4 linked regions of the Astyanax mexicanus genome follow. The protein of the gene in region 4 interacts with the protein of the main gene of each other region in a biochemical or structural test. Links are inferred from orthologs where the notes say so. Each region holds a gene or a part of one and is shown on either strand. Other genes may lie near its edges. The genes, in order: uba1, anapc2, anapc11 and ube2s.

What was found.
Region 1: of the proteins of ube2s (region 4) and uba1, one has a biochemical effect on the other in vitro, tested with the Homo sapiens proteins (8 studies listed by BioGRID, with this or other methods). The link is inferred for Astyanax mexicanus from reciprocal best matches to the Homo sapiens genes UBE2S and UBA1.
Region 2: the proteins of ube2s (region 4) and anapc2 form a complex in vitro, tested with the Homo sapiens proteins (3 studies listed by BioGRID and IntAct). The link is inferred for Astyanax mexicanus from reciprocal best matches to the Homo sapiens genes UBE2S and ANAPC2.
Region 3: the proteins of ube2s (region 4) and anapc11 form a complex in vitro, tested with the Homo sapiens proteins (31 studies listed by BioGRID). The link is inferred for Astyanax mexicanus from reciprocal best matches to the Homo sapiens genes UBE2S and ANAPC11.

What each region holds. Positions count from the first base shown.
Region 1 is NC_064420.1:35,307,172-35,314,817, forward strand, and holds the start of uba1 (ubiquitin-like modifier-activating enzyme 1), read left to right. Parts: upstream 1-4,630; 5' UTR 4,631-4,872; intron 4,873-7,646. UniProt on the Homo sapiens protein: Catalyzes the first step in ubiquitin conjugation to mark cellular proteins for degradation through the ubiquitin-proteasome system.
Region 2 is NC_064408.1:19,792,332-19,799,490, reverse strand, and holds the start of anapc2 (anaphase-promoting complex subunit 2), read left to right. Parts: upstream 1-4,147; 5' UTR 4,148-4,333; coding exon 4,334-4,444; intron 4,445-5,404; coding exon 5,405-5,660; intron 5,661-5,847; coding exon 5,848-6,172; intron 6,173-6,392; coding exon 6,393-6,525; intron 6,526-7,080; coding exon 7,081-7,159. Other genes in the region: ssna1 (Sjoegren syndrome nuclear autoantigen 1), read right to left, coding at 2,338-2,389. UniProt on the Homo sapiens protein: Together with the RING-H2 protein ANAPC11, constitutes the catalytic component of the anaphase promoting complex/cyclosome (APC/C), a cell cycle-regulated E3 ubiquitin ligase that controls progression through mitosis and the G1 phase of the cell cycle.
Region 3 is NC_064412.1:28,030,829-28,037,751, forward strand, and holds the start of anapc11 (anaphase-promoting complex subunit 11), read left to right. Parts: upstream 1-3,905; 5' UTR 3,906-4,055; intron 4,056-5,245; exon of another isoform or gene 5,246-5,364; intron 5,365-5,963; 5' UTR 5,964-5,972; coding exon 5,973-6,081; intron 6,082-6,923. Other genes in the region: ccdc40 (coiled-coil domain-containing protein 40), read right to left, coding at 379-486, 801-868, 1,702-1,777, 2,312-2,392. UniProt on the Homo sapiens protein: Together with the cullin protein ANAPC2, constitutes the catalytic component of the anaphase promoting complex/cyclosome (APC/C), a cell cycle-regulated E3 ubiquitin ligase that controls progression through mitosis and the G1 phase of the cell cycle.
Region 4 is NC_064413.1:7,913,955-7,920,880, forward strand, and holds the start of ube2s (ubiquitin-conjugating enzyme E2 S), read right to left. Parts: upstream 3,027-6,926; 5' UTR 2,471-3,026; coding exon 2,468-2,470; intron 1-2,467. UniProt on the Homo sapiens protein: Accepts ubiquitin from the E1 complex and catalyzes its covalent attachment to other proteins. Catalyzes 'Lys-11'-linked polyubiquitination.

The sequences.
Region 1 (7,646 bases), on a different chromosome or scaffold from region 4:
CTCCAGTAGTTTTTATAAGTGACCTACTGTTTATTATCAAAAATTGCAATTTATATCCAGAGAGTATATCCAGACAGAAACATGTTGAGTTAAAACACACTTGCACCACTGTTCAAACCATTGGAATCATAAATCTAACCTTTTTTTGAATGTATGGAAGCAAAAATTGCGGCCCAATACCAATATCCAGGATTTTTCTCAAATCTGTACATGCAGAAATGAAACATTTGTGAAATACAGATATTAAAATACAGAAAATAATGTATCTTTTAAATACAATTCACTCCACTGTTGCATCTAACTGTACCCTTAATTTTATGCCAGGTTACATAATTTGATCAAAAATCATTTTAAAGGCCGGAGGAATATGTGAGTATTTTAACATTTTAAAAGTACTGTCAAAGAAAAGATAAACGAGGAGACCGAACACTGGTTAAAATATTACCGCTCAACATGGAGCTTTTTTACAAAATCTTTCCAATAAAAAGAATGCCAATCAGCTGGTTATGGCGCAATTAGACGAGAGTCACCTATATTGTGGAGCAGGTGGAGATCTGCGAAAGTGCATTAAAAATGTACATATCTTGTACATTATTGAGCACTACAAACATGTTTAATAAACAGCTATTTGTCCATACGTTTTAATAGTTTTTATATTTTATATTGCATTTATTTTATTATATTTTGAAAAAACAAACAAAAAAAAGCTGTGTGAACACGGGTTTAAAGACATTATTTAAAAAAAAAACACAATTAGAATACGGCTACTTTAAAGTGGTTAATATGGATGAGATGCATTATGAATAAGGAAGAATTTGTGTACAGTTGTACTGGCACAAATTATTGTGATTCCAATTTTTGAACAGTAGTGTATCATAGAAACCAACAACCAGATATTTAAATACCTTTTTATTGGCTTCTTTAGTGAGTGTATTGAGTCTAATTATTTTAAGTGTTTTTGTTTCTGAATACAAGCAAACATGTTAAAATGATTGTTCATGATAATCAACAGTATGGCAGATAGACGTTAGATTAAAAACACTGGAGCATTCCTTTAAATGTAAGTCATGGATCTCAAAGTAGCAGCTATTATTTTGAGGCTGTAAAAAGTTTTATTTATTTATTTATTTATCTATTTATTTATTGTGGGAGGGGGCAGGCTCATGTTCAAATAATAGATTAGCTCTGTTAGCATTTTATTGAGTCATGTGCAGCTGGGTTTGTAGGGAAGGTTGCTCCGAGCAGAAAAGGGACAATTACACGTTTGAGGCTTTGGGGACTGTTACTAACACAAAATTACAGTCTAACGTCTCTTTGTGTGCATGTTCAGACCTACGACACCACATAACAAACGACTCTGAAACTGCTGTAAATACTTCTGTAAATACTTCTATTCTGGTAGCGAAGACTGATCATCTCATGGCTGATCATTTCATAATCTTACAGTCACAACAAAGCTGATTAATGCAACACCCTTATGGTCTTGTACAGTCTGACATAACCTTTAACCTAAACGAAATGTGTAAAACATGATTATATATTCTTCTTCATGTATTTATATTTTTTAATGTACTTTATCCAATTTGAGGTTTTATTTTTGAAGTTACTTTGGGGTAGCTGCAGAGCAACAGTGATCACAGCTGCCATTCGTTCTGTAAAACAGTATTTCTCAACCGTGGTCCTCAAAGGCCACAGCCCTGCAAAATAACAAATGATAGGGGGTTAACATTTGGAGACGCCACATTATAATCACTGTATTAAACCTCCTATTAGTTTTCTCATTTCTGTCTCTTTGTAATTTTGTTTAAATTGCATTTAAATTGGTTTAATTATATTTAAAGAGAAAAACTTTACATATTCAAAAACTTGTATTTTGTCCATATCAGTGACTCTTAACATTTTAAAATAAATTCTCTGTGTGCCTGAAAGGGTCAATAAGCTTATTCGCTGGAGCAGGAAAACAACTGAGAAACAGGGTTGAGAAACACTGCTTTAAGAAACTCCTAATAAAATGAACCACACGAGGGCACCACACACAACTGTATGAAAAAAAGGCTCTTTTCTAAGTCCATTCTCAAGAATTCATGGCCTATTTGCAATATCCAATGAAATACCCGGTTTATTCTTAATATTGTACAGCACATAATTTATGCATGTCTTTCTACTTTCTTCTCTCTCTGTTATGTATCACGAAATACTGTTTTTAAAAGCTATATTCTGTGCGTCCTAATCAGTAGAATCAGGCTAATTTCAGGAGGCTAACCAACACAAACCTTTATCTTTGTTTCCTGTGGTCTTGGTACATCCTTCACGTTTGATCAATGTTCTATTTCTCCAGCTTTATTTTCTTATTATAAATATCAGTTATTATAATATTTTAATTGTATGAAATGTATAGATATGTATTATACTCTACCCAAAACAGAATTTCTAAGTGTTTCAGCCTCGCTTGTGTGTTCTGTACCTCTAACGTCCTCTTTACGACTCTTTTGTCTTGGTGGTGTGAATAAATACTCTTCCAAGCTACTTTTGCACTCTTTCTGCCAAGAATTCAATAAAAAGGTAGACTTTATGATATGGTCATTGTTTTGTGTGCTGTTCCTTGTTACTTGACTTGAGACTTGATTTCTTGGAGTATTTGGCTACTAATAATTATGCAGTATCAGTATAGTATGCTTAGTATAATAATGTGTATTCGTAAACACAAATAGGCCTTAAGGCTGATTTTTACTGTTTTTGGTCAAGTTTGGCAATACTGATAACATGCATGGTTTAGCTTTCTAAAACACTATTTAGAATTGTTTAATACTGTCTTAATAAAGACTATTTAATTCAATTATAGAATTTGTGCTGCACATGTAATGTCTAAAACTAGGAGTTGCCAAACTGGCCTCTCAGTTTATGGGTGTATAACTGGGTCACTACTTATATAAGAGTCACAATAAAGAACACACACACACACACACCAACAATCTGTGCATTATGATAAATTGTGCACTGGGGCTGCACAATATGTTTAGTTTCAGCATGATCATTGCTAATGTGTGCATGTACAATAGTATCACTGGAAGTTGTCTAATTTCACACAAAACAAATCTAATAAAACTATTTATACATTACATATATTCTATGTTACACATGTTTTAGTTACATGTAGTGCATTATTTGTAAAATTTATATACAAAATAATTATGTGTAAATGCTGTGGTGCAGTAACACAATATGTTCTAAAACTGCTACAGACAAAGCTTTGTAAATTGACATTTTTTAAATTAATTTCCAAAGCTCACTTTATTTCCATTGCCTACTTTTTTAAACAATGTTTTTTTTTTTTAAATCTCTTTTTAGTTTGTTTGAAAAACACAAAAGCAAAGAACACGCAGGGCCTTTTTATACAAGCTTGTGAGATAAGCCTGAGAACTCAACATTAAGAGCACTAACTGTAAATGTAATGTTTAGCAGTTTTTTTTTATCATTAATGCTGAATTTAAAAACATAAAAAGTTAGTGTAACAAAAGATCCGCATTTCATAGTCAGAATAAGCTTCTCACAAATATGATGGTATAACCCAAACTAGTTTTGTTACATAAAGTTACTTTTTTCCATTTTCCCTGAGATGAGAAGAGAGATGTGAAAAAATAAAAAAATAAAAAATGGAAAACAATTTTTTTCTGCACTACACTAGATGTACAAATAATGGGTTTTTACATACAATATTCTAGTTTTGCATTTAAGCTCAAATAGTCAAAAAATGTTTACTAATGAATGTTAAAGGTCAGTGTAATGTTTTGTTTTCTGAGTGTTTAAGGCTAAATGCAAAAATAGAAAATTGAATGTAAAAACTCATTATTTGTTTTTTTTTTTTAAAGTAGTGCAGTGTACAAAAAATGTATCCATTTTTCCAATTTTTTTTCGTCTCTGCCCCTCACAATCGGAATTTCAGAAAAGAAAAAATCTGTTTTTTTTTTTCATTTTTGCATCTTGCAAGTTAGATTATACCATCAGATTTGTGTTACAAGGTACAAAAATAGACAAATCAGAAAATCGAGATACTCTTATATTTTTAAAAAAATTCTGTTAGCGAAAGGCTGAAATGAAAAACTAGAAGAAAAAAAATGTATGAAAATCCATTTTTTTCTTGACTTTACAGAATAGGAAAAAAGTTATATAATCAATTTTCTATTTTCGAATTTAGCTTGATACAGTCAGAAAACTAAACTGCTATAGGTTACACTGACCGTTAACGCTTTTAACACCATTACCTCTAGACAACAGACTAAACTCAGAAATAGTGAAATAGTGCATCATTCGTATCAGTACTGCGTTTCCCGCCATGCTCAGCGCCAAATGCAAACTACGGGCGAGCTTATTTCAGGACACGCGGGGGTGTTTCCAGTAGTTTCCAGTGCGTGCAGAAATATTTGAGACCTTTCCCGTGCTGTATTAAAGATGAATCATGTGCAGTGCTGTGTTAATGTTGATTGACTGAAGCTGTTTGAGTAAATAAGGTCAGAGTGTTGTGAATTAAGGGGTGAGATGTGGGCTCGTGCAGCGTGTGTTCACCTCGTGCAGTCTGCAGTTCCTGACTCAAACTCTGCACATGTTGCTGCTCCGCCGCTCGTGAACAACTGAAGAATAGAAGTGAGCACTTCTCGCGCTCAGAGCTGGTAACGGTAGCGGTAACGGTGCGGTTGGTGGTCAGTGGTCAGGAGTCAGTCCAGCTTCTTCTCAGCTTGGAAAGTCGAGGAGCTCGAGCCACTTCGATACAGTGTGATATTAACGGTTAGACTAGTGGGTTTTACCGTTTTTTTGTTGCCTGAGAAGCGTTTCTGTGTTCAGTACGGTGGAAAGGCCCCGGTAATATCGGATGTGGTGAGTTCTGCATACTTATGTGCCTGGCTAATGCTAACCAGCTAGGTTAGCTAGCAAGCTAAATAGCAAACGCGTACACAATAATAGATTTGGGCATCTTGCTTAGCAAGCTAGCTAGGTTAGCTAAGCTAGCTAGATTAGCTAGAAATTTAACTAGGTTAACTAGCTAACCACATCGGTAGCTAACTAACTTAACTAGTAGCTAGCTAGTTAGGCTAAGAATGTGCCTCAAAGACTTGTCTGTATAAGCTAGCTAGCAAAATTAAAATTGTAGTAACAGTTAAGTTAGTTAGCTAGCTAACCTTATTTGCATGGTTTTAAACGTAACCACATGATGGTGGAAAATTCTAGCTTGATATGAGATGACTTGTGATATAACGTTATATTTGTAACGTAAATAAATTAGAATTTAGATGCATTTATATTATAATTTAGCTAACCATAAGTGGTTTAAACAGTCAAAGTTGTCAGTCCTTTTTGTCTTATCCCTTGTGGTGATTAGCTAGTTATCTAACCTACATAGTTAACTAGTTAGCTTAGCTAGCTGGCTAGCTAAATAGCTGTTGTAAACAAATAAATACATTTTTGAAATTGAAAGACTGGCTCAGCAAGACATGCTTTTTTGTGAGGAATGCTTCAATACTGAATCTACAAATAGCTATTTGCAAGCTAGCTAGGCTAGCTAACCTAACAAGAAACTACAAAGACATGGAAAGACATGCTTTGCTTTCCTTGCCTTCCCCTTGTTGCGCTCTAGCATCGTTTGGCAGTTATTGGCCAACCTAGGTTAGCTCTCTTGGCTACAATTTCTCTACCAGTCCACAATGATTATTAACATAGCTAGCTGGTTAGCTAAAGCTAGCTATCAGTGCTCTTTTGTGGTCTGTGGGATCTACAGTAGTACAGGGTGATACTAATCATAAGCATGTAGGTTAAAGAAATTGCATAAACTTAGGAGTCAGAATGGGAGTCAGCAGCAGTTGCACGGTTGACTGTATTGATATAGATAAGCAATCAGCCATGCTGCACATTATTACTATCATTGGCGCCACTGGTAGCTAACCAGTGCTGGTGGTCAGATATATTTTGAAGATAGCAGTCTAGCTTCCATAGCTAGTTAGCCAGATAGCTAAATAACTCGCCGAATTACATATAGTAACCTAGTTCTAAAGCCTGCTAGCTCTAAAGCCTGCTAGGTTTGCTAGCTAGCTCACCGCTGTTTATTTTGTCGTCCTTAAAAGTGGCCGCGCTGGCACTTTAACAACTAATAATCTACGCTGAGCGGATCAATATTCGCCCATTGAAGCGCAGATGAACGGGGTACCTGTGCAGAGCAGTGGAGTGTGATGTGTGAAAGAGTTGCACATATCGTTTACTCGGGGGGGGAGAAAGCCGCTTACAGCCAGAATTGAAGCCCCTGTCTTGGCCTCAATTCCCCACACAAACAAGAATAAACGGCCCTCTTGGGCCTTTGTCACAAGGTATCAACCCCTCCTTCCAACGTTTATTCGTTTTATATGTATTTTTTTGTATTTGTTTCATGAAGTGCGAACCCAACAATGCTTTGTTGCATCCTTGCATCCTGTCATCATGCATTCTTGCATTCTTGCATTCTTGCAAGTCTCTGTGAAACAGATAAACATGAACCCATCATCTCCATTCTTAAGGCCAGAATTGGTTTAGTGGGGTAAAAAGGCCCCCCCAGAAGTGAGCTGTGGAGCAGTGGATCTGTATTCTTTGGAATGATGGTGCTCAATCAGTACTTTTGAGATGAAATGGGGTTTTGATATTACTATCTGTAAATGCAATCAGATCCAGAGAACAGTGTTTTCAAAATCTAGAAGAAAGCCACTCCTGGTCAGTAGAGACATTTTCTCCAAAAAAGCAGTATAAATACCTTTTTAATATAATTAAATAAGCAATGAATTACCAACATTTTGTCCATATAGTGTAGTATTTGGCAAATATTCATTGTCCAGAGCTCCTGGATTCTGCATCATTTTATGTATTATTGAAATCTATTCATTACATTTGAGTTAGATTAAAATAAGCTTGGTCAGTGTTATTCAAGGGGAACAAAATTGTTTAAGTAGTAAGGTAGACGTTTACAACAATGGAAAAGCTTACATCAGCATGGGTCATATTAGGCCAATTCAGTTTCCTATAATGCCATTCTTTTATATAGCACAAGCTGGGTTCAGGTAGCTGTGAGTGCTGGGTTTAGGCTTGCTGGAAACTACTTCAGACTGTTGGCTAAGTGATTGTCGGTACATAATTCTGAAAGGACTCTTTGGGACATCAAATAATTTGCTTACAAATGGAATTACTTGAGAGAATTCTGAGATAATAGACTGATTTCATGTAGTTAATAATCTTGGCTCTGTCTCCTATTAGTGTCTTTGTGTCTCTTGTAGGTTTCTTGTCTTTACAACCCCTGTCATTCTTCAATAGGAATGTTAGTGGAGAGTGTTCTGTGGTTCTATATTGTTCTATATGTAACTAGGCCTGTCTTGATAAAATTATTTTTGTTGACAATATATCGTCCCAGAAATGATTCCGATAAACAATATCATTGTCATTTTAAGACACTGGCATAAAAATAACATAACACTATAACAAAGCAGCTATACCATTTTAAAGACAACACATTTTTAATCAGTCATAGACTAGGAAATGTATACTTTTCTTCACTTGTTCACTGCAGTGCACACTGTGTATGAAGTCACAGTTATTAGTCATTGCATGACTCGTTTAAATACTGTTCACTGTTATTT
Region 2 (7,159 bases), on a different chromosome or scaffold from region 4:
GCTTTCATTTCCCATTATATATCTACTAAAGACAAATTATATCTGTCCAGTATCATTTATTTCTTTTACTCTAATCCTGGATATATGGAGATATTTGGAGTGCATTATTAATATCATGACATTCTGGATCATTGACTTCTGTTACAAATCTGATAAAATTCTTGTATAATAAATAATAAAATTTCAATAATAAAACAATATTTTCTTTTTTTTTTTTGCAGTAGTGTGTTCTTGAAATATTTGTTTTTTTTATTCAGCGTTTTGTCATATTGCCAAAAGTATCATTATTGCGAAAATATCATAAAATATCATGATATAATTTTAGTGCCATATTGCCCACTCCTAATGTACATCCACTATACATCCAAAACGATGAAGACATCTTGCTCAGTCGTTGTTTCTTTGTTTATTCTGCTTTTTTGAAGTAATTTTTGAAACAATTATCTCTACTGTCCAGGAAAGACTTTTGGAGCATTGCTGTGAGAATTTAATTGCCTTTAGTGACAAGAACAGTGACCACACAACTCCCCATCCTAATCCATCCCATCCCCTTATGCATGGTGCCAACATGTTCATGTTTATCTGTCCTATTCTATAGGCAATACTTCTCCACAGGCACTAGACAAGCTATATTTGTGTGCACTTGCACGTCTGTGTCAGCACTGGGTGCAACTGGAAATAGCTGAATGCATTCTTTGGAAGGAGTATCCACAAACACTATGACAAGTAAAGCATCAACATGATCTACGCAGTTAATTACTGCAAAGTCCAGGTAATGGAACTTCAGTGGGAGTTTGTTTACTTATAGATCACAGCAGACATCTTGCTGAATCATGTAAAAGTGATAATGACGGAGGGATGTGGGTGTGTTGGCTTTGTCCTGACCTCTTGAACCCTACCTTTTTTAATTTTAGTTCCAAGACCTGTTACTCAGTATACGCAATAAATGATTCAGTTTGTAGTATAAATGCATAAGATTTTTGTTCTTTAGTGTTTTATGAACACTGAGTAGTTACAGACAGTGTAAGTTTATTTGATATAGTACAGCAAATCCTCGTACTAAGTATAGGGGTGTGCCAAACAAGCATGTGTAAACATTACCTGGCCCAAAAAAAGAAATAAAAAAGGCAACACCACCACCAATTTTTTTTTCTTTGATTGCAGCACACATTCACTGTGGCATTGTTTCAATAAGCTTCTGTAATGTCACAATGTTTATTTCAATCCAGTGTTGCATTAATTTTTCACCAAGACCTTGCATTGATGATGGTAGAGTCTGACCACTGCACAAAGCCTTCTTCAGCACATCCCAAAGATTCTCAATGAGGTTAAGGTCTGGACTCAGTTGCCCTCATTCTTTCAGCACATACTGTTGCTTAACCTAGACCTGACCTACTGCAGCATCAACCCCACATCATTTACTTACTTAAATCCAGGTGGCAATTTTATTTCATGCAGTGTATATTATATCAATATAACCATATAGGCCAACCCAAACCATCAAACCAAGCTGTACTGCTTGAATTTTTGAACCAGGACTGGCATAAAGTTATCCAAAAGCAGTGTGCAAGACTGGTGGAAGAGAACATGCCAAGGTGCATAAAACTGATTAAAAATAGGGTTATTCCATCAAAAATGTATCTTAAACTTTATGAATATGGACTTGTTTTCTTTGCATTATTTAAGGTCTGAAAGCTCTAAATCCTTTTGTTATTTCAGCCATTTCTCATTTTCTGCAAATAAATTCTCTAAATGACATTTTTGTATGGGAGAAATGTTGTCTGTAGTTTATAGAATAAAACAACAATGTTCATTTTACACAAACATAAACCTATAAATAACAAAATCAGAGAAACCAATTCAGAAACTGAAGTGGTCTCTGAATTTTCGCCTTTTTAAATTGTTTATAAATGAAAACCTCACATTTTGTTAACATTATAGCATGTTGTATTTTTTCAGTAAAAGATAACTCATGCTACAATGTAGTAAATAATACAAATAAATAATATATAAATATAGGAATGTTTTAACAAACGTTAGACTGGAAGGTACTGTATATAGTAAGATATATAGCTAAATAACATGAATTTTAATGGAAGGCCTGCAAAGTAAGGCTGGGTCTGACAGCAGCTACCTTAAAACTACCTAACCTAGTTTACTTAATCTAACTCAGCTAATCTCAGTCCACCAACTGTCAGCTCACATAGCTCAACATTAACATTAACCCCGACAGTCACTGAAACAACCAGTAAAACACAGTCAGAACTTTAATTTAACAGTTTTACATTACTATAATAGACTTTATTAATATAACAGAGTTAATGTAGAGTTACTCACACTTCACCAGCTCGTTGTTGTAGGTCTGTAGAGCGGCTCCTTGTTGGGTCATGCTGACTGTACTGAGTTTCAGCTCAGCAGTAAAGTAAAGTTAGATTAAATAAGATAGGTTAGATATCTCTAAAATCCTCACACTCCTCGTATATACAAGTTTATCGCACAGCTGTAACTTCACTCTTAATAGAAAGTTTGAGCTGAATCCATTCACTCCCTCTGACTCCAGCCTCCTTCTGTTTCTACAACAACCTCAGCCTGCAGCTCTTCTTCTTCTCCTCCTGAAATAACGCGCCTTATGGCGGGTGGAGACACTGCAGTTCAGCGCGACTCCGCCCCTGCTGGACTGGAGAGGAATAAAATACAGCTTTAACCCCTTCAGACCTTTCAGCGTTATATTACAATGAAAATATACAAATATAAATATAAAATATAAAATAAAAAATGCACAAAAAATAATAATCTAATACTCTAATATGACGTCCAGTTAAATCCAATTAACTAAAATATCTAATAGTTTTTTTTATGTCCATTGTACTGGAAGCCTGTGTTTTAAATTTGATATTGACCTTTAATTTCACAAACCATTTCTACACAGTAAAAATAATACAAAATAAAAAGTACATAACATTTGCATCAATTAGCTTTTATTCTTTTTTAGAAGATTGATTAATTTCATTATAAACAAAATTAATTCTATATACAAATACAAATCACAAATAAAATCAAATGCAGCAGAAAGAAGAAAAAAAATGTTAGAATATCTGCCTCATTTGTTCCAAGAATATTTTCAAACATTAGTAATTTACCAAAAAAACAAAACTAAACAAAAACATCAAATCCTTCCCAAACAACAGTTCGTATAGATACACATTATACTATTTAATTTTTTTTAAACAAACCAACTTTTATCATTCTTTTTAACACATACATTGTTCTAGCATATTTAACGTCACTCTCCAAATGATTCCACAATCTTATCCCTTGAATTTAAGTACAACGCTCTTGTTTTTTCCAGTGATGTGGGCGCGGCTAAGCTAGTGTTTCTTTTTTAACTATTTTTTTTAACAGTTTTGCATGAAACTGGGTTTGTCTAGTCAGGAAATCTATTTAAATATGTATTTATAATAGATTAATATTCCTTTCTGAAGCTATTCTCATTTTTCTAGGTTGCTAAATAGAAATATATAAAGATTTTTTTACTCAACATGGTTTTACTTCATAGCTTTGGCATTTGTAAATCGTAAAAGCTTGTATACAATAGCTACCTAATCAAGTTTTTATTTTGTCCAGTTTTGTTTTCAATAGAGACCGAAGGATTGATCAGCACTGTTGTATAGGATGTAAATCCATTTTGCATACTTGTTTCTCAAAACGTGTGAAAATATAATGGCAAAAATTACAAACAAAATTAAAACCCTTCATTTGCAATTTAAAATGGCCTTTTGCCATTTCACTTTCATTATCATACAGGTATTTCCCAGTCAAATGTAAAATAAAAAACTGTGAAAAGAAAAATCTAAGCTTTTTTCATTTTACCACATTTGCAACAAGTTGGAGCTGCTTAATATTTTCCAGAGCTGTATATTTTATGGTAAGGTTATAATAAGTGGGGATACAGGTAACAAATGGTATTTTTTCAGTGTTCCAATTAGTTTTTATGAATGTTTTTAGTCACATATCTTACATTTGCAAGTAGGTCTATGTACAAGACACTGTGTTTAACAATAAAATGTATTTTGTGTGCACATTTAGACATGTAATTTCCTGTGGATAAAAAAATACAGCCTTTTCAGCGTCATCGGGTCGTGGACGTCATCACTGAGGGACAGCAGCTTGAAGAAGAGCGCGGAAATAAACAGCAGCAGCAGGAGAACCAGAGCTAATGGAGATCGTATAGCTCGAGTTGCTGAAGCTAAGCCGCTGTAATCACTGCACACGGCGGTACAGAACCTCGGGGCGCGGGCTGTTCGGTAGAAATGCTGCGGGGACGGCGGGCTGTATGTTTGTAGGCGGTGGTCGGACCCGCGGAGCTGGGGGAATGAAGGACGGCGGGGCGGTGCTGGTTCCCCCGGGTCTGCCTGCAGCCTGGGCCGCGGTCACCGCTGCTCTGGTGAGCTGCTGCTGTGCAGATATATAGGCACTGACAGTCCTCAGGGTTATCACTGAGCTGAGTAACGTTTATTATTATGATGTAGGAATGTAGTTCGGGCTATTCTTAATCTGATACATACAGTCTAGGTTAGCTAGCTAGCCTGCTAATAGTGTAAACATCCTGCAGTACAGCACAAAGACAGGGTCAGCTGGCTGCACTGATCTCCAGTTTACAGTTATATATATGTTGTGATGCAAGAACAGTCAAGTTTTGTCAAGTTTTTGCTCTTTCAATTCTAATAGTTTTGGAGGTGTAAGCGTTTTATGCTTGCAAATGTATATTTACATTCGTATATGTTAATGTAGATGCTTGGTACAAACACACATTAGCCAATGAATAATATATCCCAACTAATTGTGCTCTATTTGACAAAAATATTACGATATTTCAGGGCACTTTTGCGTTAACAAAATATTTTTTCGTGATGTGTTTCTTTTCTTTCTATGATTTTTTTTCTTTTACATTATAAATGTAATATTGAAGACAATATTAAAGCTATACAGGAACATATTCTGAAATATTTTCTAAATTGAAAGTGTTAAACAAACCAGTATATGTTTTATAAGTACCACATTTAGCTTTGATGACAGATCTGCACACTCTTGGTACAGTATTTTAATCTCAGGGTCTTTATGAGGGAGAGTCACCTGGAATAGTTTTCTCAACGTCTTGAAGGAGTTTCTGGAGGGGCTGAACAATAGTTACTGCTTTTCCTTCATACTGTAAAGCTCCAGATCATCCCAAATTGCCATCTTAGTTAATCAGGTTTAGACCAGGAGATTGTGGAGGACAAACACTTTTTTGTTTACTTTGTAATTTCACGTGTCCCTTAATTGTTATATCTTAAATGTATACACATATACAATGTTTAAAAAAATAGTAGAAAAAAAAAAATTAACTCACATCTGCATCCTGTAGGTTTCTCCTGCAGTACCGCCTTCAGTTCCTGATGACACTATTTCTGATGCTCTGGCTCTGCTGTGTGAACAAGGGCTGGCTCAGTATGTGGAGGGCTGGCTGCTGGAGACCTTGCAGGTTCGTTTGACCACTGATGTGGCTCCGGAGTTCTGGAGTAATTTAGAGCAGCCTAAAGGAGATTCACAGGAGAAAGACAGAGCAAGATGTTTGCTAGATGCGTTCAGGACTCTGCTGCTGCGCCTTGAACCATTTCTTGGTAAGCTATGTTTTCTTCTGTTTTTGTAGGTACTGTTCTAAATCAAATGGAGATTGCAGTGCTTGAATGCTTGCAATTTTTGTCAGAAATGTGCTGATTCAGTTGCAGGTGAACAAACCTTATTATTATTCATTATTCATCACCGTTCATCATCTTTCCTTTTTCTCATCTGTTTCTAAACTTCCAGGTGGGCTTGAGCAGCTTGGGTCTTGGCAGGATGAAGGTCGTGGGGGTCTGGTGGGCCCTGGAGCCCATGGGCTCCGAGAGAGGGCCTTCTCGGTCATTCGTGCTATCCTCCTCTTTTCTCCTCAGCCAGTGCTCCAAAAGAGGGTGCTGGAGTTCTACAGTCGCACCTTCTCTGTGCACATGAGCCAGGTGGGAGAGGGTCTGGAGGTGGAGCAGGGAGCAGAGGAGGCTGACGGGGCCTGTGTTTGTCCAGGCTGTGCAACCCCACCTCAGCTGTGCTGGTGCAAGGAGGCCCTGGAGCAGCTGCAGGAGCTTAGCCACATCCTGTGAGTGCAGGAATATTGGGATTGCATTGTTTTGTAATATAGTGTAATGTAATTTACATGGGTGGGATATAGTTCTGCTACAGCACCATGGTAAAAAGAGAAGACATCAATATGATTACATATTCCATGCTGGAAAAGAAGAATTTGCCATACAGATGTACAAGCATTGGGTGCTGTGATGTAACTTTTTATGTGTTGTTGTTATAATGGTGTGTGGCAGATCCAGACTGCAGCTCTTGGGGAGGGTTAGCTCGGAAGCAGTGACCAGCATTCTGCACCGACTGATCGAGGAGAGGATGGAGCAGCGGTGCCGGGGAGAATATGAGAATTCCTTTCTGGCAGACTTCAATGAAGTATGAGGATTCTGGCATATATTTTAATGGTCAATTTGTTGTTTTGTTTTAAGGACTGAACAATCTATGTTTGTTATTCCTCACAGTTTTGCAGATATTTAAGTATATCTTTTCATGGGATGAAACAGACTACTCTTCATTGTGTCAGTGTCATTTTGTCTGTGTATAGATTATATAACAGTGTAAGTTTATTCTTCCCTCAAAATAACTCAACGTACAGCCATTAATGTCTAAACGAAATGTTATTGAGTTATTTTGAGGGAAGAATAAATACACTGTCATATAATCTACACACAGACTACTCTTCATTGTGTCAGTGTCATTTTGTCAGTTTCATCCCATGAAAACCTATACTTAAAGATCTGCAGAAATTTGAGGGTTTTTTTATACTCTTTATTATTAAATAATAACTGTGTTATATTAATAGATTATACTGTCCTAATAAATGACACCAGAGACATAAATAACAGCTTTTTTAAATACAGTAACATGAAAATGTTATTGTTGAAAATGTTATAAATTCTTGCACATTAGTGTCCTCTGTTTGTGCTTTAGTGGTTGGAGCAGGTGCTCGGCTGGCTGAGCAGAGTCTTTGCCAGTGAAGTGGACGAGGCTGGCACTGATTCTGTAGCTG
Region 3 (6,923 bases), on a different chromosome or scaffold from region 4:
TCTGGAGGTCTTGTGAGCTTAATTCAGCCAAATACTAATGAAGGGAGGTGCCTAACTGTGAACCCCTGTAAAGAGCTTGTGGTGTCGTGTATAATTAGTCCATTTGTGATAGTTTGAGTTATTGAGATCGAGATATTGTTCGAGATATTGCTGATCGAATCAAAAATGGTCAGAGCAACCTAGCTGTTAGGTGTTGGGTGCTGATGTTCTAAGTGTAAATATGTGAACAAAAAATAAATAAGTTAAATAAGTTATTTGTCAGCACATATCAGACACAATACTGTCTGATTTAAGCACAATATATAACATGGTTTTAACCTGTATGTTGGTGCCTTAACTACAAATAGTAGTGAAAAACAAAGAATTAAAGTTACCCACATGCTCAGGGTCCAATACGATAAGATCTTTATCGTCATCTTCTTCTTCTTCATCCTCACTCTGCATCATCATGCTTCTCTCGTCTCTCTCGCCACTTATGAGAGCCGTCTGGATTGGTAGAGTCATCATTATTGATTCCATTTGCATACAAGGTGAAAAGTACACTCAGAATGTACTGCAGACTGTTCATCAAATCTTAAGATAAATTAAATATCACAATGAGTTAAAGCTGAAGTCGCCCCAGAAAAAAAACAATAACTGAAATAAAAAACATTTAATTTGATCTCTTCATTTAAAAAATGATAACATGGATTCTGTTAACAATCTCTAGCATTATAAACTGTTTTTTTTTTTTCGATTGTTAGATAAATGCATCATAACAGGATATAAGCCTGAAAGAAAAAAATATTTGGCTTCATTACTGTGGAATTGGCCAATGTGAGGTGCAGAGATGACGGTGGAGGATCAGGCAGGGTACTGCTGTCCTGCGCTGGAAAGCACATCACACACACACACACACACACACACACACACACACACACACACACATACACAAACACCCTTCACGTTACTGTAAAGGAACAAGCCTCAAATCAACATGCTGATTAGTGAACATAGGCTTCTAGGCTATGTTAGTTATATAACACTCGTTCACACCAGTGTAAAATCTCAGCAGATAAACTATATTTTTGCTAAATTGGTGTTACTGTGACTTCTAAACAAACTATTGCTTTTGAAAGAGCTTTTACTAAATTTTGAGGAGTATGCTTTGGTCAATTACAGAAATTTCAGTTTCTTTTTTTTATCTTAACCCAAAAGAGCCCATGATGATGATGTATGTCACAGACCCTTTAAAAGAGATGGAAAATTTGTTACAGAACTCTGTCCTTCATAAAGTCACATACACTGAACAGCCTGAGAGCATCACAGGACAGTGTATGAATGTGTGTTTAGTGTGTTTGAGTCCTCTCAGTTAGTCCTTTAGATAAATGTGGCTCCTTTAAAGCTGTACTTTTTGCTTTTACTGGTCTGTTCCAACCAGTTTAACAATTCCAATGCCCTAAATAAATGTTTTACTCTCCATTTAACTAGTTCTGATACAATTGCTAGAGCACACTGTTAAAATACAAGTTATAAACGTATTTTAAGAGATATATTAAAAAATATAATTAGTCATATGTTACTCACTGAATTTATGTGAATTGGCTTTTATAGGTTAAAGTTTCTAATCAAAAAGTGTTCCATGCATCCATACAGTGGAAAATACATTTTCCTCCTGATGTTTGCCTGTGCTGTTCTTGACGTAGGCAGACTTATACAGACCTGAGTGAGTGTGTGTGAGGGGAGATGTCTCTGAACCGCTGGCTTCAGTGTGAGTTTGTGAAACTGGGCCTGAACCCTGCACAGAAAGCAACAACACATCAGAGCATTTAAACAACCAAACCACCATGTGCAGGCTACTGCTCCTATAATCTTACTGTAGACAATTCTAGTAAGGCTCTTATGGTCATGATTATTACCATCCTCTGCGATGTCCATTGTGGGTAATAATGACTTCTATAAAGTATTCTTGGTACACTCTGTATAGGTAATCTTACTCCCAAGATAACATCTTACACACTCCATATTCAGATTTGGGTTTTCACAACCCATCCATAGAAATAAGTACTTGAAATAGTAGCTCTTCCACGGCTGTAGACATGCCAGCAAACTCAAAAATAGAAATACTACACAGCATCAAAATTAAAATTTCTTGCGTATAAGTGTGCACACAGAAGTCTTCAGTTCAAAACAATTTAAAACAAAAACACAAGTCATGTAATAGTAGTGTATTGTTAAATGTTTAAATCCTTATTGCTAGTATAAAATAAATGTCTGCCTATTCGGGAGGATAGGAATGAAAACCTTGCTGTGACCATAAGCAATTTCTGACCTCTGCAGCCCCCTCTGCTTCCACTGGAAGACCCTCCGTCTCCCTCTCCTGCTTTCCTCCATCTTCCCCACCATTCTCCATCCTAAGAACAGATAAGAAAAAATGGCCTGTGTGGAGTTACAAAAAAAAAAACTGTCCAGAACAGGTAAATGAAAATGATCATTATAACAAACTAGAGATGTGTGAAACAAACTAGAGATGTGTGAAAAAGGACACATAAAATTTTACAATTTATTTTACAAATTAGCAATTGGTTTTAGTGGTACATTTAAACATGTAGACCTCCAGTCAAACAATTGTGATGTTTTGTAAGTTATATGTTATCTTCCCTGTTGGACCAGAACCTTCCATTTTCTCCAGCTTTATTTCTGCTTGTAGATGATTCTGCTATTAATACAAACATCCAGGAAAAAGGGTGTTAATGGCTGCTAGTAAAGCAGCCAACAAAAAAAACTTAAAATCTTAAAAGACATATACCTGAATGAATCACTGCCAGGCTGCATCGTGATGTAAGGGCAGCCACTATTCGACAGTGGTCCAACCCTATTGACTTTATTAAAAATGCCTTTATTCAATTACGAAGGTGTGTGCACTGCAAATGGTATTCAATTAAATTATTTATTTATTATCATTTATATATCTTGTGGCTAATTTATCACGCCTAGCAGAATAAAATGTGAGGCTATTTTAATAGCTTTCCAAGATTGTGGCTGCCTTCACTGAACTAATTTATACAATTCATAGCTGGTAAGTTATCTTACATACACACATACTTAGTACAATAGTCTAAAGTTTACTTCTTATTAATAAAGACTATAGGCTGAAAATATTGCAAGCCTTATTTATCACTGAGTTTTAATGAGGTTGTTAGTCTGCATTTTAGTCAGCAAAAAAAATTAATTTATAAAGCTAAATAAAAAGGCTCCGTTTTCTGTCTTTTTAATAAATAATTTTAAATTAGGATTGTTTCTGGTTGGTTCTACTGCTTGAATGTATGATAAACTATCTTCATAACCATTACTAATTTTTAATAGCCATAACAACTGTCACATGTTATTTTGTTTCCTGAAAATCTTAAAAAATGAGTTAGGGAGAATTTTAGGAAAGTGTCTCTGTGCAAAGATGTACAGTCTCGCTTATCCCATTTTGAAAATGCCATTAAAAACAACAGTGTAGTTAATCGAATAAATTCGAGTAACCTCCCACCAATATAACAAACTGCAAATCAAATAAGAAAATGGACAAGTTAAGTAGTTATAAAATAAACAGGACAGATAAAACTAAAGAGAGAAGAGAAGAGAAGAGAAGAGAAGAGAAGAGAAGAGAAGAGAAGAGAAGAGAAGAGAAGAGAAGAGAAGAGAAGAGAACCAAGTGGTTCTTTTTCTTACCTAAACTGAAACTCTTGTGGCCAGTAAACACTAAGATAAACTGAACCAGACTGCCTTCAAATGATTAATATGAATAATCATGGACATTTCCAGTTAAAATCGTTTTAATAAATATCTTAGCTTGGATAGATTAAGCTGGGTCTGCCTTCTTCCACCGCCTGCACTGTTTGACCCGTTGCTAGGAGACCGCACACTTCCGGTGTCGCCAAACTCGAGCTGCAGTGTCGTGCTTAAAATTAAGAGTCTGTTTAAAACAGTTCATACATCCAGTTTATTCTGTGGAGTTATGAAGTGACACCCACTGCTTGTTATATTTCACTGTCGTACAGATATGGGCTGGGCTGCACCAATTTTGCGTAAGTTTCTTCTTATGTTTGTGTGCAAAGTCTCTAACGTTACTAGTTATTAGTTTCAAACTATCATTTTACTGAATCTGGGTGCACCACTAATCTGTGTGGCATGTCCTAACTAGTAACAACTAACTCATGCGCAGAGTTACTGATTGACGCTTTTACATGACGAAAACAAATATATAACATGTTGGTAATCAACGTGTTGCCATGGAAACGCGGTTTAACAGCATGTGTTAGTGGATAATGTAGCTATAATGTTATGGGTAATATATTATAAGCGGTATTATTTCATACTTATATAGTGCATCTCAAAAGATTAGAATATCATTGAAAAGTTACTTTATTTCAGTAATTCTGTTCAAAATGCGAAACTCGTATATCATATAACGTTAGATGAATTATACGCAGTGATCTATTTTAAGTGTTTATTTCTTTTATTGTTGATGATTATGCCTAAAAGCCAATGAAACCCAATAATCAGTGTCTCAAACAATAGGTGCTTTTTGCAGTGTGGACAGTGTGCCAAATCCTGCTGAAATATAAAACCCGCATCTCTATAAAAGTTATCAGTAGAGAGAAACATAAGGAAAATACTGCACTGACTTTGGACTTGATATAAAACAGTGGACCAACTCCAGCAGATGTCATGGCTCTCCAAACCATCAATGATTGTGGAAACTTCACACTAGACCTCAAGCAATTTGGACTATGTTCCTCTCCATTCTTCCTCCAGACCCTGGATCCTAGATTTCCAAATGAGATGCAAAATTTACTGATGGTCAGTGATGGTTTGGAGAGCCTTCATCTGCCGGTGTTATATCAAATCCAAAGTCTACATATGTGCTACACTGGTGTAGTTACAAACATATGCCTGCTCAGATTTGTGTAAATACTTAGTATTTATACGTTCCTACGTATATACTAGTTGGTGTAGGACAACACGATTTGATTTAGTTTAGCCTTTTTTTACAGCTAGCCTATGTTTAACTTACAGCTGGTGCAGCCAGCCCCTGTGATTGGCTTAGTGCTTAAGCAGTGTTTTAAGTGTATTGGGATCTATCATTTAATTGGATAATTAACTAATTCATAATAAAAAAATTCTGCAATTCACTTTTCAAAAGTCATTCAGCTCATTGGCTGCAGTGCACCTGTAGTTGGTCTGCCAACCGCCATAATATTAGCCATAACTCCGAAAGAGCTCCCGGGCAGTAGGGGGCGAGATGGAGCTGTTAGTGTTGAACAGGAGCTTCATGGCGGCGCTGTAAATAAAATGGAAAGCGGGAGGGAAGCGGAGCTTTATCTGTATGGCTGGGTATTTTCTTTTCTTACTGTTACTTTTCTTAAAATATTAACCGTAGTTTTATGTTCTCACCACAGCATTTTTAGAATGTTTGGTCCCACTTTAAATGGTGCTGCTTCGTTAGTTAGCAAGCTAGCTACAGTATGTGTGTAGTTATAACCTGACCCCAGCTGCTGCATTTAGACATCGACAGGTTTCTGATTTGTATGTTTTGTCACTCACGTTTGATTGCAATATTCCTGAAATGTAAGTTGTTGTGTAGGTTAAACCATTTTGGTTAGCAAGTTAAGGTTTGTTCACCAGGTTTCAGGCTCCAGTGGTGATAAAACGCCTACTGAACCTACCATATATCGATTTGCTGGACAATGGGAGGTTTTTCAGATGGTGCCACAATACACTCAGGAAATGTTATGAGTTTATTTTAGTGCATAACAAACTCTTAACACTGCGTTCTGCAACCCGTGTAACATAACTCTATATAATATGTATTATATAACTAGCTAGCTTAGTTATCTAAACGGCGTCCATGCAGGTAGCTAAGTTACTTTCACACAGCTTTCACCTCTTCAGCTAGCTTTTTGTATTGACTGGACATATCCCCACAATTTCAGAAGTGAGAAATGAAGGTGAAGATAAAGCAGTGGAACGGCGTGGCATCCTGGCTGTGGGTGGCCAATGACGAGAACTGTGGCATCTGTAGAGCCCCGTTTAATGGCTGCTGTCCAGACTGTAAGTAATCTTTTTACACAACTCTAAATGTAGACACTTCAAGGTATTGAAATCCATTTCCGCCATTCGAGGGAAAAAATAAGGGTCCTCCACCAAGTCATAATTATAAGATGGTAAGGCATAATAATTATGATATACTTAGTCTGCGGTTATTATTTCATAATAATGACTTGGTATCTTATAATTATGCCTTACTATTTCAATAAAAATGCTTTGTATCTAAATTATTACTTAACATCTCATCATTATGACGAAATATATTGTAATTATGACTTAGTATCTCGTATTAATGACTTAGTATCTCCTCTCAACAATTATGGCTTAGTATCTTGTATTAATGACTTGGCATCTTATCTTAATAATTATGACATATCATCTCATAATAATGACTTAGTATTTCATCTCAATAATAATGACTTGCCATCTCAGAATTATGACTTAGTATCTCCTTATAATAATAATAATAATGGCTTAGCATCTCATAATAATTCATTAACAGCTCGTAATAATGACCTAGTATTTCATCTCAAAAATAATGACTTAGTATCTCATCATTATGACTCAGCTTTTTGTAATAATGACTTAGTATTTCTTGTAATTATAACTTAGTGGAGGACTGTTGCATAGTGGCGGAAATGGGCTTCCATATAAAGGAGAAATGTCTGTATAAAAGGTAGGAAATTATGGTATTGGTAAATGGTACAATTGTGCCAAATATTAACAAATTTAGTTTTCTATTGTATATTTGTGCATTGGTAAAACTAAGGCAAACTGTGTTTCTGGTTTCTAAGCAATGTATTGATCTGGGATGAATGGAGTGTTTCCCACACATAACCCTCTCT
Region 4 (6,926 bases):
CCATGAATCAGACATGTATCTCATTTAGGACCACGTATGGATGTGACTCAAATCTGATAAAAAAATAAATAAATATGGATTTGGCACGTTCAGACAGCCATTTAAAAAGAAAAAAAGATCTAAGCCACATTGAGCAAAAAAAAATCTAATTTGAGTTACCTAAGCTTGGTACACATCGAGTGTCTGTTAGCAGCATTAGTATAGCAACAACAGATTTTTTTTTTTTTTAAAGACCCTCTTGTCCCTAGTTTCTTTTTGGGTATGTGTGAGGGCTTTTTTAAAGGAAATTATGTTAATGTTATTAGGGTATGTGAATGAGGTCTGCTCTGATTGGTTGCATTAAATTTGACCAGTTTAGTTGAGCAGTTTAGAGTAGAATAACCCATTTAGTGCTATACGGTTACAACTAGATATCTATTGTATTATTGGGACTTAATTAAAGTCTATCTAGTAGGCTACCTGCTGATTTATTTGTATGCTGGCCCAAGGTAAGCTGGCAGACACTGGCTACCCTGCTTTGAAATTGAATGAATATTAAAAATATATTAAAACACATACATTTTAAAAAATGGCGTTCTAACACTAAGGTTTATGTTGTGACGAATTCTAGCTCTGTCAGAATCAGACTTCCCCTTACATAAGGATGCCTGCCACAGCAGAACGGATGAAAAAGATTATCAGCAAACTCCTTTATTTTTGTTTATAAATAAGGATAAATCTATTGTTACATTAATTAAATAAATTCAGTCCAAGCATTTGCGCCTATACTGCTGCTTGATGCGCCTGAGCGCAAAGGGAATGAGGTTTCGGCATGACACCAGCTCTTTTTCCTCTGGTTGGTTTAAAGACTGACTCAATTTCCTGTAAAAGATCCAAAAAAGTTGATCTATCTAGATAAGTGTTTCACACAGATGCAGATGAACCAGTAGATGCAGAATGAGAGCACCTCTTTAAGTCTGACCAAACTCTGGTCCTTTGGACTGGACCGTGGTTCACAACCCCTTTTACACCTGCAGTCTGGACCAAACAAGACAGGTGTGAAACACACACAAAAAGGCAGAAGACAGCCCATTTGATGCTGCATGATAACAATTGAATTCCAAATATATATTGTATTAAGGGACTCAATAATAAATCAGGCTGCCTAGAATTAAAAGGGTGGGTCTTTATATCTTTTGGTGGTATACAGAACACTAGTAAGTAGGAATGAACAATGATATCAATAAATTGTTTGTGGACAATATATTGTCCCATAAATTATAGCAATAAACAAGTTGTCATTTTAACACAATGGCACTGACAATGATAATCTATTAGCATAACAAATACATTATACTCATTTTAAGACAACATTTTAATTAATCATAGTTTGGTAAAATTAATCCTTTATTTTTCATCTCCTGCAGTTTGCACTGTGTGTATAAAGTCAGTTATTAAAGCATTGGTCATTGCATGACTGGCTAAAAAATGTTAACTGTCAATTATCATACAAACAAACAATAATCAAGAGTATCATATATTGTTAAGGTTGTGTTCACTTATTGTTGGATAACTCAATAAAGTAATTATAGTGACAAACATAACTTCAGTTGATAGACACGCTGCTATTTTAAAATACATTAAGTTCAGCCAATCTCTGTTATTAATTCTAAAAGTTACGAATTTATACCAGTATGTGAATTCTTGCTACAAGTTCAACGTGTATATCGGCAGATATGTACGTGTAATATTGAATCAGTATCAGCTCAGAAATTCCATATTGGTGGATCCCTACTTTTCAGACTTAAGTTTTATATTATGTTTTCACACTAATTATTAATACTGGATGGAATTGTATCTCTAAACACAAAATTATCGCCTTAGTCTAACAAATAAAAATATTAATTGTATTACCCTAAACATATGTTATATTGTTATGAAATTTAAATACAAAAAATGGATATAGCTAGTGGTCTTGAATAGCTAGCTAGGCTACAAAATTAGATTACTTTTGGAATTTAATCGAAAAAACAGCTAGGTTAAAATCAGTCAATTGTATCGTCAAGCCTTGAAGGTTAGCCTAGCCACGGCTGCTAGGTTAGCTTCTTATAGGTACTGACCATTCCACCTTAAATGAGGTGCCAGAAACCAGCCAGCTAAACTAATATAGTTCAGCTAGCTAAACTGCTAAGGAATTTAAGGGGAATATAAAAAAATATTAAAAACTTATTTAGCCACGACTGCTAGGTTAGCTTCTTATTAGTACTGACGCTTCCTTAAATGAGGTGACAGGGTTCAGCTAGACACACTAGTTAATTGCTAAGACATTTAAGGTGGAACGAACAATTTAAAAGAAATCAGAAGCGCTTTTACTAGCCAACACCAACCTAGTTAACTTAGGTTGGTGTTGGCTCCACGCCGAATGTGTTAGACAAATATTTTTGATGTATTTTATCAGAAAAGGAGTATTTAAGGTGGAATAACTTACCATTTTGTCTTTAGAGATGGAACTGTAGTTAACAACGTTAGGAAACTGAGCCTTGCTATAAACTGAGCGAGCAGGCTAACGATGTAGCTAAGCTAACCTAGCTAGCTTACTAGCTTATCTCAACACTCTGACACCTACTAGAGCAAACACCTAGCTAAGGAGCTAGCTATAACTTCAAGAAAGAAACGAACGACAATTTAAAATCGAATTAAACCGAATATGAGACTGTTTTCGGTTTCAGCGCCACTAAACTCTGCGTTAGCTCAGCCGGAGCCTGGAGTCAGATCAGTCTGCTCTATTGGAAGCGATTAGCCAGAGCGCTAATGCTAACTCCGCTAGTTTCTCGTCTCTGCTGGAGTTACCGGTCCCCAAACCCGGTTAAAATAAACTAAATAAACTGAAATAAAAGAAACGCAGGAGACTGCAGCGGTGTCGTTGCCTTACTCGCATCAGAAACCGGTTCTGACTTCTTCTTGGCGAGCTAACAGTTCTCTGCTTTTGACACAGGAACAAAAATACGAACAGAGAGAGCACGGCCGCTCCGCCAATCAGCTCCGGCAATAAAACCTGCCTGCAAAAGCCACCGCAGCCGTTCAACCAATCACAGCACACGCAAGGAGTGACGTCGCCGCTCTCAGCGACCACGCAGTCCAGCTGGACCGTAGAATGTGAAAAATGCTCCTCTGCGATTGGCCAGTTTGAATAACTCAGACCCGCCCACACACAGCAGGGGCGAGGCTAAGCATGCAAATATAACTTTCTTTCAATACATAAAAAAACTCTTTAAACGTATAAAGTTTATGTGATGTTTTATATCTTTTATAGAAAAATTAGGGTTCTTTTTTGAGGTTGTTTTTGTGACAGTCTCTGTAAAATACTGATTTATTAATGCTGCTTAATGATTCATAGTAATTAATTAAATAAATGCAATGAGTTTTCTCTACCTACCTACACACCTGCATACTTACATACATATATACTTACACACATATATATATATATATATTTATTGAGTGTGGGCACACACCACTGCCCCGCATCTGTGAGCGTTCCCAGTGTGACAGGACTGAATGTGATGGGGTTAAATGTGACAGGGTTAAGGAGCTGAGTGTGACAGAGTTGAGTATAAAATAGTTGAATGTGACCAGATTGAATATTATAGAATGGAATGTGACAGGTTTGAGTGTGATGGGGTTGAATGTGACTGGGTTGAGTGTGACTGGGTTGAATGTGACAGAGTTGAGTGATGGATGTTTTTGATTTTTCGTGTTCTGGATAAAATGTTTAGAAAAATTCTGAATTATTTGGTAGAAACAGGGACTGGTACGGTGGCCCTCTTTTGTCTATTTTTTATATTGTCTAATCTGGTCTTGAACATCACAATTTGTTTTTTGTCAAAGTATCTCAGATTCCTATGCTTGTTTAATTTTTTCATCCTTTAGCAGATCTGTGTTTAGTGAGGGCTGTGGCCAGTCTATTCAGTCCTCTAGATGGCGCTCCAATATACACAGTGCTTCAGCCTGCTCTCAGAATGCTCTGTTTACCTTAAGATTAGAGGATAAAGGTTGTGTGTTCTGTGAACTACAGTCCCACCACTTACACTGTGTATCTATTCTGAGGAGAGTAAAAAGCCAGTCTGAGATTCTATCTGATTGGGAAACTGAAGGTGTTTGTGATTAATAATATAATATTGGGAAACATGTAAGTCAGCCTGTCAGGGAGAATTATTGACCAGCATCAAAAGTCATTAGATGTTCTTTACAATAGAGTATTATCATCAGTAAGGACACAGAATACCCATCTTTTCTAATTCCATCAATATGGAACAATACCAAATTCTTCAGTACTGTAGACATACATTTAAAAGCTTTAAAACTCCACTTATATGACTTTTAAGAAATGTGTTCTGGCTGTAGAACACATCAGCATCAGAGCAACAATCAATCAGTTACAGTGAGAAATGCTAGCAAATCTGTTATCTAAAAACCTTTGTCGTAGAAGAAAAATGGAAATACATGGGTAGGCTTTCTTTATTTTTAGCAGAAATACTCAGGAATATCCTGAGCTAGTATATATTAAATTTGAGTTTTGTAGTATTATAAATGTAGTAAAATGCAGTATTTTTTGTTAACTTTGTCTAGAACTTAGAAATATGTCATATTCCAGTATAAACTTATTTATTTACTTATACATTATATTTTTTTATTTTGTTTAGTTGTCTAATCTTTACATTACTGTAGCCCATATAAATGTAAACAAATAAAACGAGGAAATAAAAGAACTTTTACCATTTTTATCATTTTTTCTATAGCAATATTTAATAATAACTTTAATCATAGACAGACAGTATTAATTTTGGTTATTCAAGACTTTTTTATATTCTTCATATATACTATATACTATATAGATTTTATGTATATTTTCAAATTTCAGATTCAGATTTTTCTACGTGAATAATATTATTTCCCAGCAATATTCTTTTTTCAGCAATAATAATTTATGTTGCTTTAAGAAAATATCGTCACAGTTCAGGGCGTCAACAACAACAATAGCGCTTCTTCCGGTGTTCTGTCGATTTTATGTTCAGGTACCAAAACCTGCCCCAAATAGAAGCAGGTAGGATCTTTCTATAGGCCAAAAGCATCATATATATATATATATATATATATATATATATATATATATATATATATATATATATATATATATATATATCAATTAAACAGAAGTATAGAATATCGATAGCAGAAGATATTTAGCAAAAATAGAGACATGTTAAAATCTGATAAGATTTTTTTTACTACTAATTTTTTTTGTGTTACTGTTATAAATTGCGAGTTACTCTTTTGTAACACTCAAGCATATAATAACAATAATAATCCGCTAAAAGTGTAAAATTCACACAAGAAAAACAGAATTATCATGAAAATCACATGAAAAGGTTCGAAACGTCTGAATCTGCGCATGCGCATAACGGCAAAGTAGCACATACAGGTGGGTAGCACTATTTGACAGGACACTTACACTCGCTCGGCTCTCAGCTAAATGCTAACACTCAGTAGCATCACCTCACTGAGGGCTGTCGGTTTAGATGTAAATGAAGCGTTTTTATAAGATTATATTTTATTTATGAACTCCTGAGATATCGGCTAAACGTCGTTTTAACTCGTAAGGATTCACAGTTAAAGGTAAGGACAGTTAACGGCTAACTATCTTAGCTAAAGTTAACTAACTAGGGGCGTGTGTGTTTCACTGAGTGCTGCTGTTGATTGGGTGATATTTATTTTTGTGTTATTAAATAATAATAAACGCTAAATATTAGTAGAGAGAGTGTGTTAAAAATGAGTGTGTCTGAGTGTGAATAAGTCCTTGATTGTTTTTTCGAGAAAACGACGTAAACGTTGGCTTTTTTCCACTATAATCATGTTTGAATTAGTCAGTTCCACCTTAAATTATATTATAAGCAATGCTGCGTTTAAGGCGGAACGGAAACTTCGAATGATAAACTAAACCCATTTTAGTGTTTCTAACTTACTTTAATTGTAAACTATGACTGTAACTAATATATGTTTTTGGTAGCTAGTCGATTAATCTGCCGATTATTTAGGTTGTTGACCCAAATCCCTCCCCATCATTTAATTTAATGGAGGCTTGTCTTGTGACATTATATTTAAAGGACCATTAGCGATTTATGTATTCAGTAATATCTCATAACATGACCAGAATGTGTCCTCAGATATTGATGAAACATACTGAGTTTTGGCAATGGCAGCCAATGACAGCTTCAACCAGTATGTTCTTATTTGATTTATACAGTATTTTATGGTATTCTGTGTGGGTTTTAGTCTCTGAATTCCCCCATACCTATTTCCACACTCCGGGTTGCCAGGTATACAACACAACAGCACCCAAACAGTGTACTGCATGAAAATGATTTAGATGACTATGTTTCTGCTGAACAGGTAATCACTGAGCTTCAGTAAGGTTAACTATCCATAGCTGGGAAATTTACCACCTCCATTATCTTAGAAGTAGAGGCGGACATTTGGAACCCAAACTAGTCAGCTAAGATCCGCCGCTGTTCTTATTAGGAGAAAAAAGGCCCTTTAAATTATAAGCACTAAGAATCTTAACTGGCAGAACTAAAATTTAAATACATGTATTTTGTAATATAAATATATATTAATCGAGGTCTGCGTTTTCCTCTCTTATAATAATAGTAATAATAATAATAATAATAATGATAGTAATTAGAGCTGGGTATCGTTTTTAAAATTGTCGATACCAGTAGCTATTCCCAGACAATACTTTTTTCGATACGTTTTTTTTTCTAAATTGTAACCAAAGAAAACAATCATTATTATTACATAGCATTTTTGTGGCACTTTATCAATTATTGTTCTTACGCATATTGCTGTGTGCATTTCACTTTTAAGAAGTTTTAGAAGAGGAAAAATTT